Canis lupus familiaris: one gene and its partners. The protein of the gene in region 1 binds, or shares a complex with, the protein of each later gene. Links are inferred from orthologs where the notes say so. Each region holds a gene or a part of one and is shown in the gene's direction. Other genes may lie near its edges.

Region 1 (4,918 bases):
ATAATGTATGTTATAGGGGATCATCGCTGCTTTAACACTTAAAAGAATAGCAGTCAGTACTAGACACATAAAACTATCTCATCTGTGAAACTATCACTGAGGGAAAATAAGTGGTGAAACCAGTAGATTTGTATGGATAGTTCCAAAAATATATACACACAATTATAGTCTTTCACTCTTCATCCTTTAAAACATTGTTTTCTATAGAAACAAAAGAAAGGCAATGATTTCTATCCCCCAGTACTGAGTTTGGCTAATTTGATGCCAAATATGGTTTTCATATTTCTAAAACGTTAGAAGAAATCCCAATTTTCCAGCCAGTATTTCTCTGAAGTCAAAAAGTGTAGATGGTTGGTATATCTCAACAGATTAAATTGCTTCTTAGTGATAGCACATTGCTTATAAGTTCAGAAAATTCAGAGAGATTTTATTCAGTCTTTTGCCAAAATGATAATATGTTGAAAATGGTCTCCATGATTATACATTTGCTCTTCTTAGAGAGTTTGGAGCTCTTTTTAGGGAAGACTCCCCTTTTTATTGCCATTGCCACATTGAACAGTGCATGATGGTATTTGTTGAGAACTGTGGTCTCTGTTTTAGTTAGGCATGATCCCTGCCCTCAGAGCTGTTCTCATTTAGGGAGGAAATGAAAGTGCCAAGTATAGTATGTATGGTCCACCAGTTGGAATTGAGCACATTGCCTGAGGTATTTAAGACAAAGACGTGGATGTATAAATGATAATACGTTATCATTAATTGTAAGGTTCTTTCTGGAATAGGTAGACTTGAACCTGATCTCTTTTGGACTAGAGCAGTGGTTCTTAATCTTTGTGGGGTGTCGACGCCTCTGAGAATCTGATAAAAATTTTGCGTGTACCCTTTTTTTCATTCTGTATCTGAAGGTTTGTGGACCTTCTGAAACCTGTATGAACTAAAGGGTTGCATGATGACAGAGGAGGGAGGTCAGATGTTTATGGGAATAAGCAGGTTTGAATAAAAGATCCAGAAACAAGAATACCAGTTGTCCATAAGGAAAAGTGATTGGCTTTGAATGGAGCAAAGGTTTTCAGCTGGTTTGTTAGATGAAATTTGCTGTTGGCTAAGATAGTGAATGAGGTCATGTAGATCCATAAGCTTATCGACAGGCCCTCTTATTTTGTTAAGGAATAACCATTGAAAGAATATACATTGAACTGATCTCTCAGTCTGTCAATCATTTGGTCATCTGCAATAGTTGGAGACCAATTTGGTGGGGAGGAGATAAATGGGGCTGGGTGGATGTTGGAGAGTATGGAGAAGCTGATTAGTCATGAGTCTTTTGTGCCCAGGAAAGAATGACTTCAAGAAATACCCTGAAATGGTTAGATTTGATAATTAAAATAGTTGTGTGAAGTAGAAATTGGATATCTAGATGGAAACAGTCTGCCAAATAAGATATGTGGCCTGAACTAAGGAGAACTTCGAAGAGAGGAACTAGCAGTGGCAGTCATCCATGTGCAGACTCTCATTGCAGTGGATTGCAAAGCTGCTTGAGTCGAGCTTAGTTCTTTGCTCTCCTTCTGTCCTCTGCTGTGCTGCCTTCTGTTGCCCAGGGACTTGGGCTTGGCTCAATACTCAGTGAACGTATCTGTCTGGGCCAGGGCTTTAGCTGTGTTGTATTGTCCTGTGCTGTCATAAAGCCTCATGTTTTTATTGTGTTGGCTTGGGTTCTTGTCTTCAACTTTCTTCTCTCTGGGGGCCTCTGCACTCTCGCTTTGCTGTGCTGTAGAGTTATCCCAGATGCAGAACCAGCCCTCACTCTCACTCTTGTTCTGTTTTTTGGTGTAATGTCTAGCTTTATTTGCAGCTCCTTCAGCAGACTGCCTCCTCTGGGAACCTCAACACCCTGAGCAGCCTCCACCCAATGGGAGGTAAGTGTTTCACTGCTGTGGAGGAGCAGCAGCAACCAGGCCACCAGACCCAGCTAACAACAGTCTGAGAGTTTTGCACCGTTTGTACAGAAAACAGATGTTTACCCACTCATTACATAAACCTAATGTAAGGTGAACATCCCAGGACTCAACTTCCTTTTCTCTGGAAGGTGGCTCTTTTAGTTGCTGATGTTAAGATTGCCCTGGGGTTTTCTGATGCTCCTCACCCCCTTAAGTCTGTTGAGGAGGGAGATGGAAAAGAACTGTTAGCATGAGTAGACTTATCTGAGGCCATTTTTATAAGGAGAAAATTGCAGGAACTTTGTTTCCACAATAAAGTGACTTTTCAGTGACTTTGAGAAGCCTTAGAAGGCATCCATGCAAATGGCTTACCCAGAAACTACTAGAACCTAGACAGTTTACTTCTTTGTCTTAATACCTGTTATTTCTTAGGTGATTTGCCTTTTGTTGCTGTTAACAGCAATGGTTAAAAATATGGAAAACTTAATTGACACATGCCTGAGTTTATGACAAAATGGGGTTCCATAGGCAAACTTGATGGTGGGGCCATCAGACAAGTTAGTGGAGTAGAGCTTTTCCAGAGCCCCTGCCCCTACCTCTTCTGCAGTGGATTAAGGCTCAGCAAGTGCATCTGAGAAAGGGGTCATCTTAGGTGAACTGCATTTTACTGTTTGAAAAATTTTTATAGTGGTTCACTTTGTCTCAGGGACTTGGAGTTTGCTGTGTTTTTGAAAATTTGCTAGATTATAAATCTGTGTTGTAGTTTAGTTTTTATTCTCACTAACTCTCCCTCCAACCACCACCACCCATCTGCTTTTCCATCATCTAGAAAATTATTTGGAACACACTGTCAGTGCAGTTCAGATTTCTTGCTCCTTTTAACTGTTGCTTGGGTTCTACTTGGAGGTTTTTCCCCTCAGTGTTTTTCTCCTCCTTCTGATGAGTAATCTGATATTCAAGTAGTGGTTTTTCTTTAGTCTTTCTCCTGTTGCTTTTCTTGCGTGCATCCTCCCCTCTCATTACCCTCCCCGCCCCCCCGGCCACCTGGATCCTGCTGCATCTTCTGCCTGTGTACCCCCATTGGAAAGAGCAAATCCTCTATAAAATAGGAGGAAGGGGCTAAGATGCAGTCCCATTTTGTGCGACAAATTTTGTCGTTTGTTGTTCTCTTGGACACCTGGCTTTGTGGTAGACCACAGACCTTACCCTCTCTTGATTTCCTAATTGCCAGGCCTTGTTATAAATATTCACTTGGGGTGACATGCTATTGGAGTAGATATCTCTTCTCTTGAAGAAATGATGTCAAGTTTCTTAATGTGTTTGAGTGGTATCTGAATCTTTTTAGAGTCTTGTAGTGTTGCTTGTAAGGCTTATCTAGAATAGTTCCTCTTTGGGACCAGCCTTCACCAATGTGTCTGTCATTGCTGGAAGGGATATAAAGAACCCTTATGTCCTGGCTGATCTCTTGCTTTGGATGTTGCAGGGTTAAATGCAATGCAGTTACAGAATTTGGCTGCTCTAGCTGCTGCAGCTAGTGCAGCTCAGAACACACCAAGTGGTACCAATGCTCTCACTACATCCAGCAGTCCCCTCAGCGTACTCACCAGTTCAGGTAAGTGTGTCATTGGAACCAACGTGCCCTTGTGTGCCTTGGACAGAATCTCAAGAAAGAGGTCTTTCATTTTGGAGAGTGGTTAACATCCATTTCCAAAGGGGTCAGATTATGAACAATTAATGTTCCAGTGTCCTCTTCTTAGAAGAGGTGAAATTTCTTTCTTAGGAGAAGAGAAATTTCATAATATTTAGTTTGTTGTAACTGTCATTTGACTTTATACAGCGACAGTTCTCGGAATCAGTAACTGAAAACCTCTTTATGAAGAGAACGCTTGAGTAGTATCACTCTTATGCTTTGGTTCCTTTTGACACGAGAAGCAAATGTTGCCTTGAGTTTAACACCCAGGTTTCTGATCACAGGGTCCTCACCGAGCTCCAGCAGCAGCAGTTCTGTCAACCCCATAGCCTCCCTTGGAGCCCTGCAGACATTAGCTGGAGCAACAGCAGGCCTCAACGTCAGCTCTTTGGCAGGTGAGGGACAGCCCCTGGATGTCATCAGGCCATTCTTTGTGTAGGGAGCATATTTTAAACAACCACAGTAGGTCACCATTAGAATGAACATGGTGGCCCTATAAAGTTAGAAATAATCATGGGATTTCGAGTCAGGCCTGAGTTAAATCCCACTTTCGCCCCTTAACTAGCTGTAACATATGATAACCACCTTTCTAAGGTCATTTTCTCATCCACAAAGTGGGCATAGAACACTTCAAGGGTTGTTAAGTAAATGAAATCATAGGTAAAGTGCTGAGCACATGGCTTAGTACAGTGTCAGGCATGTAATGTGTTTAAGTAAATATTAGCTGCTATTTTGACAATAAGGTTTACCCACCTCTTGTCCTAGACCACACACTCACCCCTTTCAGTACCCAAACCTGAAACGCTTATTTTACCACATTCCAACTCTGTGAGAAAGTGGCCGAAAAGCCGTAGAGAAAATGGAGCAGGTCATGTTTATTTTTATTTTCTATTTATTTTAAATTTTATTTATTTATTCATGAGAGACACACACACACAGAGGCACAGACACAGGCAGAGGGAGAAGCAGGCTCCATTCCATGCAGGGAGCCTGATGTGGGACTCGATCCCAGGTCTCCAGGACCACACCCGGGACTCAAGGGACGCTAAGCCACTGAGCCACCCGGGCTGCCCGGAGCAGGTCATGTTTAAATGATACTAGTCCTTGGATGGGTTGGGAAAAGGTAATGGGGAGAGCCACACCTGGGTGTGGCATTTTTTAATGTGTCCATGAATGACAAGGCCTGGGGAGTGTCCTAGAGCTGACCTGATTGGTATTCCTCCTCAGGGAGAAACAGAGAGAGAGATAAGGGAGAATTTTGTAGTTCATTTTTGGTATCAGTCGAGTCTTCCTAATA
Region 2 (5,413 bases), on another chromosome or scaffold:
GCCTGAGTGATACTGGGCAAGTTACTTGACCACTCTGTGCTTCAGCTTGCTCATCTGTAAACCGGTGGTAGTAACTATCACCCTCACGGAATTCCTATGTTCATTGTAGGGCATGGAATAAATAGTAAGATTTACAAAGTAACGTTTAGAATACCTGCATTAACTGAGCTTTGAGCTGGAACCACCCAGTAAAGGGGAAGTGGAGACCACTGGCACATCGACAGCTACCTTTATTAATATTTTTGTAACTGAGGCTCAGGAGAGGACTTGGTCCCCGCCATCCTGTGGGTCAGAGGGAAAGCCTGATCACCAGGCCGGGTTTCCCCCACATCTAGTTCTTCTGAAAGTTCCCCTAGGTTTAAAAATAAATCAATAATGGTTAAAATGGCAAATTTTGCGTTCGGTCCATTTTACCTCAACTAAAACAGATACATTTTTAAAACACCCAATTAAAAATAAACCAATGGGCAAATGATATGAACAGATACTGAAAACAAACAAACAAACATACGAATGGCCAACAAACACATGCAAAAGACATTCAACGTCACTAGCCACTGGGCAAACGCAAATCGAAAACCACCAGGTCTCCCTTCACAGCCACTGGAATGCCTATAATCCAAACTACAGAGAACAAATGTGGGCGAGGATGTGAAGAAATTGGCTCATACACTGTCACGGGGGATTGGAAAACGGTAAGCAGGCCAGTTTGGAAAACTGTCGGCGGTTCCCAAGATGATGGAGACGTACGCCAATATTCCTAGTAGCACTGGTAGTAGACAAGAAGTGGAGACAGCGCAAAGGTCCATTAACTAGTGAATGGAGGAGAGCTGAGGTCCATCCATACGAAACACCAGCCAGCAACAAGAGAACAAATGCGCACACGCGCACACACACACACACACACACACACACCAGCATCCGTGCGTCTCAGACGACACATCATGCTAAGGGGGAAAAAATAGAGAGAGAGCACACAGGATCCCAAGCAGAGAAGGCAGAGCCGTAGGGCCGCAGGGCACCGCGGGGGTCGCGCGGGGTGGGAGCGAGCAGGGACCGCAAAGGGCCAGGAGGGGCCCCCGTGGGGCGGCGGTAAAGCCCAACAGCCGGCTCGCGGCGACGGCCGCACTACTCGGCAAACTTAGTCAATACGAGTACCTGAGTTATATGCTCAAGCGGGGTAAATTGCACGGTACGCCAACGAATCCTCAATAAAGTTGCAAAAAATAAATAAAGCCAACTTTGGAAACCCCGGCGCCCCTCAGACCATCGGGCTCTTCCCAGCTCCCGGAGCTCCCACCCCCGACCACGCTGCCAGGCGGGCCGCGAGGGGAAACAGGCGCGAGGCGCCGGGCCGCCCTCCAGCCTCCCTCCCGGCCCAGCTGCAGGACGCTCCCCTGCTCCCGCAACTCCTCTCCCGATTCTGGGCGCCAAGCCTCGAGCAGCCCAGCCAAGCCTTCCAACCTCCTCCCACGACGTCCATCCGCAGAGGCCGCCGCCGGGTTTCCGGCCACTCTGGCCAGATGGGACCGTTGCCCCGGGCAACAGCGCCAGGGCGGAAGAGACTACATATCCCGGCGCGCGCTGCGCTCTGAGGATCAATGGGCGCCACCACTCCGCCCCCAGGTCATAATCGCGGAGCATCATGGGAGTTGTAGTACCGGGGCGGACCCGACGTGCACTGCGCGCTGGGGGGCCAATGCTTGCCTCAGATCACAATCGCGAGGCGTGACGGGAGTTGTAGTTCTGGGACGGCGGGCACGCCTGGGAGACAGCTGGTAGCAAAGGGGCGGTTACGAGAAGTGCCACGTGCCTTCCATGGCTTTGGTTCACGTTCCGCTTTGGGCGGTGTGCATGCTGCGGGTGGCCCTGGCCACCGTCTACTTCCAAGAGGAATTTCTAGACGGAGGTGAAGAGGCGACCCCCTTGGTGGTGGAGTGGGGGTGTAAGCTCACCAGCCCATAGCCCGAGTCCCCGCTGGCCCCGATCCACCACCGCGAGGTCTGTGGTGGCGAAGCCTTGAAGCTTCGAAACTTCGAAGGTTCGAAGCCTGGAGCCTCCTTCTCCTCCCCTCCCCCCGCAACACATACACCCTCCCTGACTCCAATAAGGAGCCTCAGCCCTAACCGGTGTTGTTTTCCCCCATAGAGCACTGGAGGAACCGATGGGTGCAGTCCACCAATGACTCTCAAATTGGTCATTTTAGACTCTCGTCCGGGAAATTTTATGGTCATAAAGAGAAAGATAAAGGTCAGTGCAGGAATGGTGAGAAAATCGAGCTAAGTGCACTCACACACACACACCACCACCACCACCACTATGCCAACCTTTCAAGGTAGGTGTGGCACACTCCTAACACCTCTTACAGCCCGTTCACCACTGGGGAAACTAAGGCTTGCATAGGGTCTGGCATTACTTTTCCTCTTTCCTTTCTTTACTTGCCCAAGATCGCCTCATTGTACACGAAATTGGTCGCATGAGTTTAGAGACCCCAGGTCTTTGACCTGCAAAGGGAAAAAGGTCAGGGGATACTTCTCATTTTTGTTTTTACTTTACGAAGAAGAAAAGTGTGGTTAAAAGGTATGTGCTTTCAGGTGCATAGATCTTATGGGTACAGAAAGGTTTATATATGTACGCTCTGCTCAAGATAGGGAACATTTTCAGAAGTCCCCCTTGTGCACACACCCCCGTCTCCCCAAGTCATCCCGGTGCCAAGGATGACTTCTGTCTTCTTCTCATTCCTGATGGTAAAAAGTGGACAAAGCGCAACTCGTTTGCCACCTACTCGCACAGAGCTGGTGAGATAAGAATGATTTTTACATTTTTTAGTTGTTGGGGGAAAGTAAAAAGGGGGATATGACATAGTATTTTATGACATGCAGAGATTACATAAAATTCAATAAATATATGAAATTTCAGGGTCCATAAACAAAGTTTTAATGGAACACAGCCATGGCCATTTATTTACATAGAGCTATGGGTTTTTTCCTGCCCCAAGGCAGCAAGTTGGGGCAGAGACCATATGGCCCACAAAGTCTAAAATATTTGTTCTCTGACTTTATAAAAAAAGGTTTGCAGACCCCTGATTTAGATGGAAAGTTTCACTTTTCACCAACCTCCCACTCAGCCTCTACCTTGGCTATTACTCCAGGGTTGTCTTCATGGCAGCTTCCGGTTTTCTGTTGAATGTACATTGTTTTCTAAGTTACATGTTGACCAAAGAGTTGGTCAAAATTCACCCCATAGTACAAAAATGGAGTGAAATTAACAGATTGTTCCATCAAGCTTGTCCAAGGATGGGGTTTCCACTTAGTCATTTGGGGTTTTCCCTCACAATGTTTTTTCTTCTTCCAATCTGGAATCCCGAGATTCTGTGTTTCATTCACTCCAGCACACATCTACTAAGAGAGCACAAGAGCAAGACACTGGGGATACCAATTAATTTGGCCCCTTTCATTGTGGTCTCCCAGGGCCATTACACAGAAGTGGTAGATGGAAAGATGAATAGAATTTACTCCGACAGAGATGGGAAGTGGTGAGAGATGTTGGGGATGGTTGAGGAGGGTGGTGAGAGAGAGGAAAGTGGTGAATCTTGGCCTTAGGAATTGCCTAGATGGTAAGGTGGTAGAGAAGGGGGTGAACCTATGAATTATTTGAGAAAGGAAGGATGGGAGGGGGAGAATGAGAGAGAGATGAGTGTAGTAGTGGGTAGTCAGCTATGAGTTCAGGCTTGGACATATTGATAGAAAATGAAAATACCAAGTGCATTTATGATGGATCTCAGCATTGGCAGGTATGGGGGCAGGAATGTGGAGCAAGGAAGACTAGATTCTAGTAAGACTGGATCTATTTTCAAGTCTATCTTCTACTCCAGTATAAAATAAGGATTTGGTACAGAGCCTGGTGGCTACTGAAAAAAGAAGGGTTTAGTCTTGAAGTGAACACCTTAACTTATAAAATATGAGATGATTCATGTGACAACAGGGTGGTATCTTTGTAAAAAGAGGGCAGCTACAGGCCAGTGCATCCCGTGTAGTGAAGTACATTTTTGCAGGTCAGCACTCTGTCCTCCATTCACTGTGGTATATCTGAAGCAACTATTTCAAGATGCAATTTAAAGAAAAGATGTAGGATGCTCTGTTTCTTAATTGAGTTGCTACATAAGCCTTAATGTATATTCCCTCCCTTTGGAAGATGAATCGAAACAAAATTCACTTCTTATCCATAATTAGGTTCCATATTTATCATTTAAAGCTGAAGTGTTTTTGTAATTTGAGACATGACAGTGGTATACCAAGCAAAAAAACAACTGTGTGTGGAAAGTTCTGTGGCAGCAGAGAGGCTGTTAGTGGTATGTCCATCATGTTTTATTGTAAAAATGCGTTTTGAGGCTCTGAATTAACATAAATTATTATTATTGGGGATGGGAGGACCACTATTTAATTCCCTGTAGAACTGAGCACAGTGTCATTCCTAATCTTTCATGAGTATTTTTTGTTTAAAGGTCTGCAAACCACTCAAAATGGCCGATTCTATGCCATCTCTGCACGATTCAAACCATTTAGCAATAAAGGGAAGACTCTGGTCATTCAGTATACGGTGAAACATGAGCAGAAGATGGACTGTGGAGGAGGCTACATTAAGGTCTTCCCTGCAGATGTGGATCAGAAGAACCTGAATGGAAAATCCCAGTACTATATTATGTTTGGTGAGTTTAGATAGTACAAAACCACCATTTCTGGTGACTTTGAATCCTTCCACTTCATAGAATCCTCAGACTAAGACTTTACCGAAGTAGTAGTATCGGATATATCCAACCAAAGGTTTTTAAACTAATATAAAAAGGCAACTGTGCCATTCTGTTGTACTTTCTTTAAATATATATATATTTAAAGATTTATACATATATTTATATATATTTACATATATATAAATATTTTTATATATTCATATATATTTATATTTATATATATATATATATAATTTTTTTTTTTTTAGAGAGAGAGTGAGTGGGGGAGAGGGGAAAAGTGAGAGAGGGAATCCTGAAGCAGACTCCTTGTTGAGTGCAGAGCTGGATATGTAACTCAGTCCCAGGATGTGTAACCCTAAGACCATGATCTGAGCCAAAATCAGGAGTTGGCCACTTAACCAACTGAGCCATCCAGGTGCCCCCTATTGTACTTTGAGAAAGTTACTCAACATTAATGTAGCCTCAAGTATTGGAATATATCAGGAGTCAGCAGACCTTGGCCATGGGCCACATCAGCTCACAGCCTGCGTTTGTTATGCCCCATGAGCTGATAATGGTTTTAACATTTTTAATCATTGAAAAAAAATTGAAAGAAGGATAATATTTTTGACACATGAAAATGATAGGAAGGCCAAAATGTTTCCTGTCTAGCCCCTGCTGAGC
Region 3 (5,541 bases), on another chromosome or scaffold:
ATGTATGTGTACTTGCTAATACTAAATTGAGTATGGACCATGTGACAAGCACTATTGTAAGCAGAACATCTTTACTCATTTAACCATCATAATTATTATGTGAGGCTGGAAAATGGGGTTACTAACATCACCCAATCCTGACCCCATAGTGAGGTCCTAACAAAAATTCAGGATGTGTCCCTCAAAGTCCCTTCTTAGCTTTGAAGCACTTTCCTCGTTTTTTGTTTAATTGCTCCAATTTCCTTCTTTCTCTCACACAGCAGGTTTTAAGCCTGTTCTGTGCCAAGTGCTTCAAGAGACACTGAGGGATGAAGTGAATAAGGTAGTCACAGGGTCTACCCTCAAGCAGGAAGCACCAAGCTCATGCATGCATGACATATGGTGGAAGGGAGGGAAGGTGGGAGGGTCAGTGGCAGGCTTGGAGTGATCACCCCAGATTGGCTCCTCATGCAGGTTGAGTGATACTGGATACTGCCTGGGGCAGAACCCCAACTTCTCCAAGACTCCTCATTCTTCTCTTTTCTGAGTCTCCACCACTATCAGGGAAGCACGCCTTCCCTGCTTTTTTGCCAGGATTCCACCCCCTTCCCCAGTCCACTTCCAAGTTCCCAGGTCCAGGGCCTGTTTGCTTAGAGTTTGGGAAACCCCCAGAGCGCCTTCCTGCTTCCTGCAGCTTGGGGGGAGGGACATGGTGTCAGTCACGTGCCTCTGGCTTCTGAGCGTCTAGACTCAGGGGTCCTGCCCATCTCCCTCGGACCTTATCTTCCCCACCATCTGTCTCATTTTTTTCTTTTTTAACGGAACCCCCCTCCTCTCCTCTTTAGCCGTTTAATTGCAAAAGTCAGGCCGTTTGTGGGAGACCACAGGCAGCGACCCCTTTACCGGCTGAGGGAAGGTTTAAAGGAGAGGCTGCAATCAGACAAACAACGCTACCAAACTCTAGGAGCCACAGCCTATAGTCACATCTTTGTCTTCTAGGTTTCCTTTCTTCTGTCCCAGGACAACCCTAACAGTTTTGAAAGCGGCTCTGTAGAACGGCACCTAGCCAAGGATGCTCCTCCTAGCCTCTTCGGGGCTCCTGTGATTTCAGAGGCTAAGTGACTCGTCCCAGTCACTCAACAGCAGTCTGACAGGCTGTCAGGGCACTAGGGACCACTAGGGGCCAGAGAGGAGAGAGCTGGCACTGAACTCTCTGGCCTGCAAGGCTGTGGCTCTGGAGTGAAATGAAGATCCAGAGCCCCAGCCCCTGAATTCTGGTGCCTTCTGTCCCATCCTGGCCTGGGGCGGGGGAGGGCGAGATCGAGAGCGAGCGTGTGGGAATAGGGGCTCCCCAGCTGCAGAGTAGAAAGTGGTTAGGAAAACCTGGCCCACACCTCCTCGCAGAGGGGATAAAAGAGGGCGAGCTGGAGCGGGGTCCAGGTCCTGCGAGGTGACACGGGCACTGGCGCGCGTTCTTTAAACGCCCAGACCAGGAGCTAAGCGCGCGGGCAAGGGCGGGGTTGGGTCGAGGTCTGGTCACATGACCTGGGCAGAGGGGCTCGAGGCCCCCACCACACCGGTGGGCGGCCCCCACAACGCGTGGTCGACCTTCATTGGCCAGCTGTGTAGCCAATAGAAATCGGCCATCTGGGAACCCTGCGTTCCGAGGCACAGCCTAACATGCTCAGACGACAGCGGTCCAATGGAAAGTCAGGGTCGTGGCCGCAGACCAATGATAAGGTGCGGAGGGCGGGACAAGAGGCCGGGCCAGGTTGGTTTGAGGGGCGGTAGGGTATAAAAACGCGCGGCCGGCGGTAGCGTCCGTCCCTACTGCAGAGCCGCCGCCGGAGGAGAGGTTTAAAGGGCCCGCGCGCCGCCGCCCCCTCGCCCCGCCATGCTGCTACCCGTACCGCTGCTGCTCGGCCTCGTCGGCCTGGCCGCTGCCGAACCCGCCATCTACTTCAAGGAGCAGTTTCTGGACGGAGGTAAGGCCTGGTCCGGTCTCGAGGCCGCCCCGACGACGAGGGCGGCCCCTCAGCCTAGATCTGCGTTGTCCCCTGTAATTACTGCTTAGAGGACCAATACGGTGGCCTCCAGGGACCAGAGCCGCAGGCGATCCTTCCTTCCATGTCCCTGGGGAGCGTCGAGGGTACAGCGGACTCCCGCGGCGGGAGTTAGGGTTCGCCGGAGGAGCCCTTAAGTCATCGAAGATGTCAAACTAGAGGTTGGGGTGGGGTCAGTCAGGGGATATCTCCTTTCCAGTCTTCAGCAACTTGAGGCCATTGGCAGATAGCTATTCGTGGGGAGAGGTCAGTACGGCCGCACTGACCTGCCCCTTTGATCCCCTAGACGGGTGGACCGACCGCTGGATCGAATCCAAACACAAGTCAGATTTTGGTAAATTTGTTCTCAGTTCCGGCAAGTTCTACGGTGACCAGGAGAAGGATAAAGGTAAGAGCCTGGGACGGGTGGATGTTGGGATTCAGGAGGACTTCCTGGAGGAAGCCGTGCATGTCACACAGCGTGGGTATCCCCATGAGCAGGAGGAAGGGGCAGTCTTCTTTGACTCCAGTGCTTAGGGTCCTTGGAGCTTGGGGCTGAGCCATGACCTCACTATGGTCTCCTGCTAGGGCTGCAGACAAGCCAGGATGCCCGCTTTTACGCTTTGTCGGCCAGATTTGAGCCCTTCAGCAACAAAGGCCAGACACTGGTGGTGCAGTTCACCGTAAAACATGAGCAAAACATCGACTGTGGGGGCGGCTACGTGAAGCTATTTCCAGATGGTTTGGACCAGACGGACATGCACGGAGACTCTGAGTACAACATCATGTTTGGTGAGGGACCCCGCCCTGGCGCTGACCTTTGATTAGTTGGAAGGAGACCTAAATCTGGGTTCCTTAAGGGCCACCACAGGTAGTGTTGAGAACATGGGAAGATACTTGTGTAGTTAAGGCTTGTCTTTGCGAGGAAGGCTGAGGACATTGCATTGTTACTATTGGTCTGAAACTTGCAGTTCACGGGATTTTCTGTAGCTATTTCCAGTGAGGGCATTAAATTCCAGAGGTGATATTTTGTTCTTTCTGTTTTTCCTTTTTAAAAGGCTCCACTTTCAGCTCCTTAGAACCAGTCAGGGTATGATTCTTGTCCTGTAACCCTTTACAGATCTGCATTTAAGAACCAAGCCTTCTTTTGTAAAGGTTGGGAGCTTTACAGTGGTGGGCAGTTTCTTGCTCTAACTAAACCCACTTTTTACCTAGGCCCGGATATCTGTGGCCCCGGCACCAAGAAGGTTCATGTCATCTTCAACTACAAGGGCAAGAACGTCCTGATCAACAAGGACATTCGTTGCAAGGTGTGACTGGGGGTGGTGACAAGTGGCTGATAGGGAAGCCTCAGAGGCCAAGCCTGATGGGCGGGGCCATTCATCTCCCACCCTCTTCAGGATGATGAATTCACACACCTGTATACGCTGATTGTGCGGCCGGATAACACCTATGAGGTGAAGATTGACAACAGCCAGGTGGAGTCAGGCTCCTTGGAGGATGATTGGGACTTCCTGCCTCCCAAGAAGATAAAGGATCCTGATGCTTCAAAGCCTGAAGACTGGGACGAGCGGGCCAAGATTGATGACCCCACAGACTCCAAGCCTGAGGTTGGTGCTTGGGCAGAAGCTCCCCATGTGGAAGGTGTAGAGGACAGCTGGGTTGACTGACCTTTTTGTGTTCCCTCAGGACTGGGACAAGCCTGAGCACATTCCTGACCCTGATGCTAAAAAGCCAGAGGACTGGGATGAAGAGATGGATGGAGAGTGGGAACCACCTGTAATTCAGAACCCTGAGTACAAGGTGAGCTTGGAGCTCTGAGCAGGGTGGGAGCGCACAGTGGGGAGCACACTGACCTCCACTCAACCACTGGTTCCCTTCCCCTTCTGCAGGGCGAGTGGAAGCCCCGGCAGATTGACAACCCAGATTACAAGGGCACTTGGATCCACCCAGAGATCGACAACCCTGAGTACTCTCCTGATAGCAACATCTATGCCTATGAAAACTTTGCTGTTCTGGGCTTAGATCTCTGGCAGGTGAGACACAGAAGGGATTCATGGAGCACTTCAAATGTTGAGAGTCACTAAGGAGGAAAGGGATGATAAATGTTCAACCCCAGGCAGCTCTGAGCCAAAACTGGTGCTTTTCTTGAATAATATTCTGGTCTGTCTTTATGGAGTTCTCACGGCACCCAATTTGAGGTTCAGCTTACGTGCCAGATACCTTTCTAAGTTCCTTTATGCAAACAAACTTTTTAACTGCCTTCAACAGTTAGAAGTTGGTTAGATACCCCTGGCACTATTTTTCTAATGAGATTATCTGTCTGACTTACTTGGTAGAACATGCAACACTTGATCTCACAGGCATGAGTTCAAGCCCCACGTTGGGAGTAGAGCTTACTGGAAAAAAAAAAAAAGTAAATAATAAATGTGACTACTAGAAAAAAATGGTTCCTCTGAAATGAAATGTTTTAAAATTTTGTCAGTTTTATTCACTAGTAAACAATCTGTGTCTGGAATGGTGTCTGGCATGTAGTAGGTACCAGAAAAACATTTGAACAAGATATTGAGAGATCCTGTTTTACAGATGTAGAAATCAAAGGGCATTGTGTAGTTGTCATGGGAACATGGAGGGGGTGGGGCTTGTCCAAGGCCAGGGACATTAGTGTCCACCCTGACCACCCTCCATCCACTCTCCTGTCCTCCAGGTCAAGTCTGGCACTATCTTTGACAACTTCCTCATCACCAACGACGAGGCGTATGCAGAGGAGTTTGGAAATGAGACCTGGGGTGTCACGAAGGTGGGACCAGGGTCTGGTCCTGGGCTTGGGAGTGGGCAGGTCTGGTGGCGGGGGGCCGGGCCCTGAGCTGTGTGGTTTCTGTGCAGGCGGCAGAGAAGCAGATGAAGGACAAGCAGGATGAGGAGCAGAGGCTAAAGGAGGAGGAGGAGGACAAGAAGCGCAAGGAAGAAGAGGAGGCAGACAAGGAAGATGAGGAAGACAAGGACGAGGATGAGGAGGACGAGGATGACAAGGAGGAAGAGGAAGAGGATGATGCTGCCGCTGGCCAGGCCAAGGACGAGCTGTAGGGGCTACACTGCTGCCTCTAGGGCTGGACTGAGGCCTGAGCGCTCCCGCCGCAGAGCCGGCTGCGCCAAATAATGTCTCTATGAGACTGGAGAACTTTCATTTTTTTCCAGGCGGGTTCTGATTTGGGGTGGATTTTGGTTTTGTTTCCTCCCTTTTTTTTTTTTTTTTTTTTTAAAAAAAAAAACGTGTTTTGTCTTTGATTCTCCTTTAGTCCTTGTTCCTGATCCTCATCTTTCTTGATTGACATCTTTGCCTTCCTCTGTCCCCTTCTTTCCTCCAATCCCTTAGTTCTCCTCCAACCTGAGGGGGCAGGGGGAGTGTGGAAGAGAAGCCCCAGGCCTAAGATTCCATCCACTCACCTTCCTGGATCCCAGAGGGGGGGGCAGGAGAAGAGGGTGGCATCCCCAGCACTGAGGAAGAACAGGGCTCCTA

The links.
Region 2: CELF1 (region 1) and CALR3 share a complex: the UniProt entries of both Homo sapiens proteins name them as parts of the EIF2 complex. The link is inferred for Canis lupus familiaris from reciprocal best matches to the Homo sapiens genes CELF1 and CALR3.
Region 3: CELF1 (region 1) and CALR share a complex: the UniProt entries of both Homo sapiens proteins name them as parts of the EIF2 complex. The link is inferred for Canis lupus familiaris from reciprocal best matches to the Homo sapiens genes CELF1 and CALR.

Annotation. Positions count from the first base shown.
Region 1 is NC_049239.1:42,597,890-42,602,807, forward strand, and holds part of CELF1 (CUGBP Elav-like family member 1), read left to right. Parts: intron 1-1,834; coding exon 1,835-1,910; intron 1,911-3,414; coding exon 3,415-3,543; intron 3,544-3,905; coding exon 3,906-4,016; intron 4,017-4,918. UniProt on the Homo sapiens protein: RNA-binding protein implicated in the regulation of several post-transcriptional events. Involved in pre-mRNA alternative splicing, mRNA translation and stability.
Region 2 is NC_049241.1:46,446,417-46,451,829, forward strand, and holds the start of CALR3 (calreticulin-3), read left to right. Parts: upstream 1-1,663; 5' UTR 1,664-1,818; coding exon 1,819-1,909; exon of another isoform or gene 1,910-1,946; intron 1,947-2,148; coding exon 2,149-2,250; exon of another isoform or gene 2,251-2,319; coding exon of another isoform or gene 2,320-2,335; intron 2,336-4,504; coding exon 4,505-4,708; intron 4,709-5,413. UniProt on the Homo sapiens protein: During spermatogenesis, may act as a lectin-independent chaperone for specific client proteins such as ADAM3. Required for sperm fertility. CALR3 capacity for calcium-binding may be absent or much lower than that of CALR.
Region 3 is NC_049241.1:49,648,613-49,654,153, reverse strand, and holds the start of CALR (calreticulin), read left to right. Parts: upstream 1-1,791; 5' UTR 1,792-1,873; coding exon 1,874-1,964; intron 1,965-2,328; coding exon 2,329-2,430; intron 2,431-2,609; coding exon 2,610-2,813; intron 2,814-3,236; coding exon 3,237-3,331; intron 3,332-3,421; coding exon 3,422-3,631; intron 3,632-3,710; coding exon 3,711-3,824; intron 3,825-3,913; coding exon 3,914-4,057; intron 4,058-4,728; coding exon 4,729-4,821; intron 4,822-4,907; coding exon 4,908-5,108; 3' UTR 5,109-5,541. UniProt on the Homo sapiens protein: Calcium-binding chaperone that promotes folding, oligomeric assembly and quality control in the endoplasmic reticulum (ER) via the calreticulin/calnexin cycle.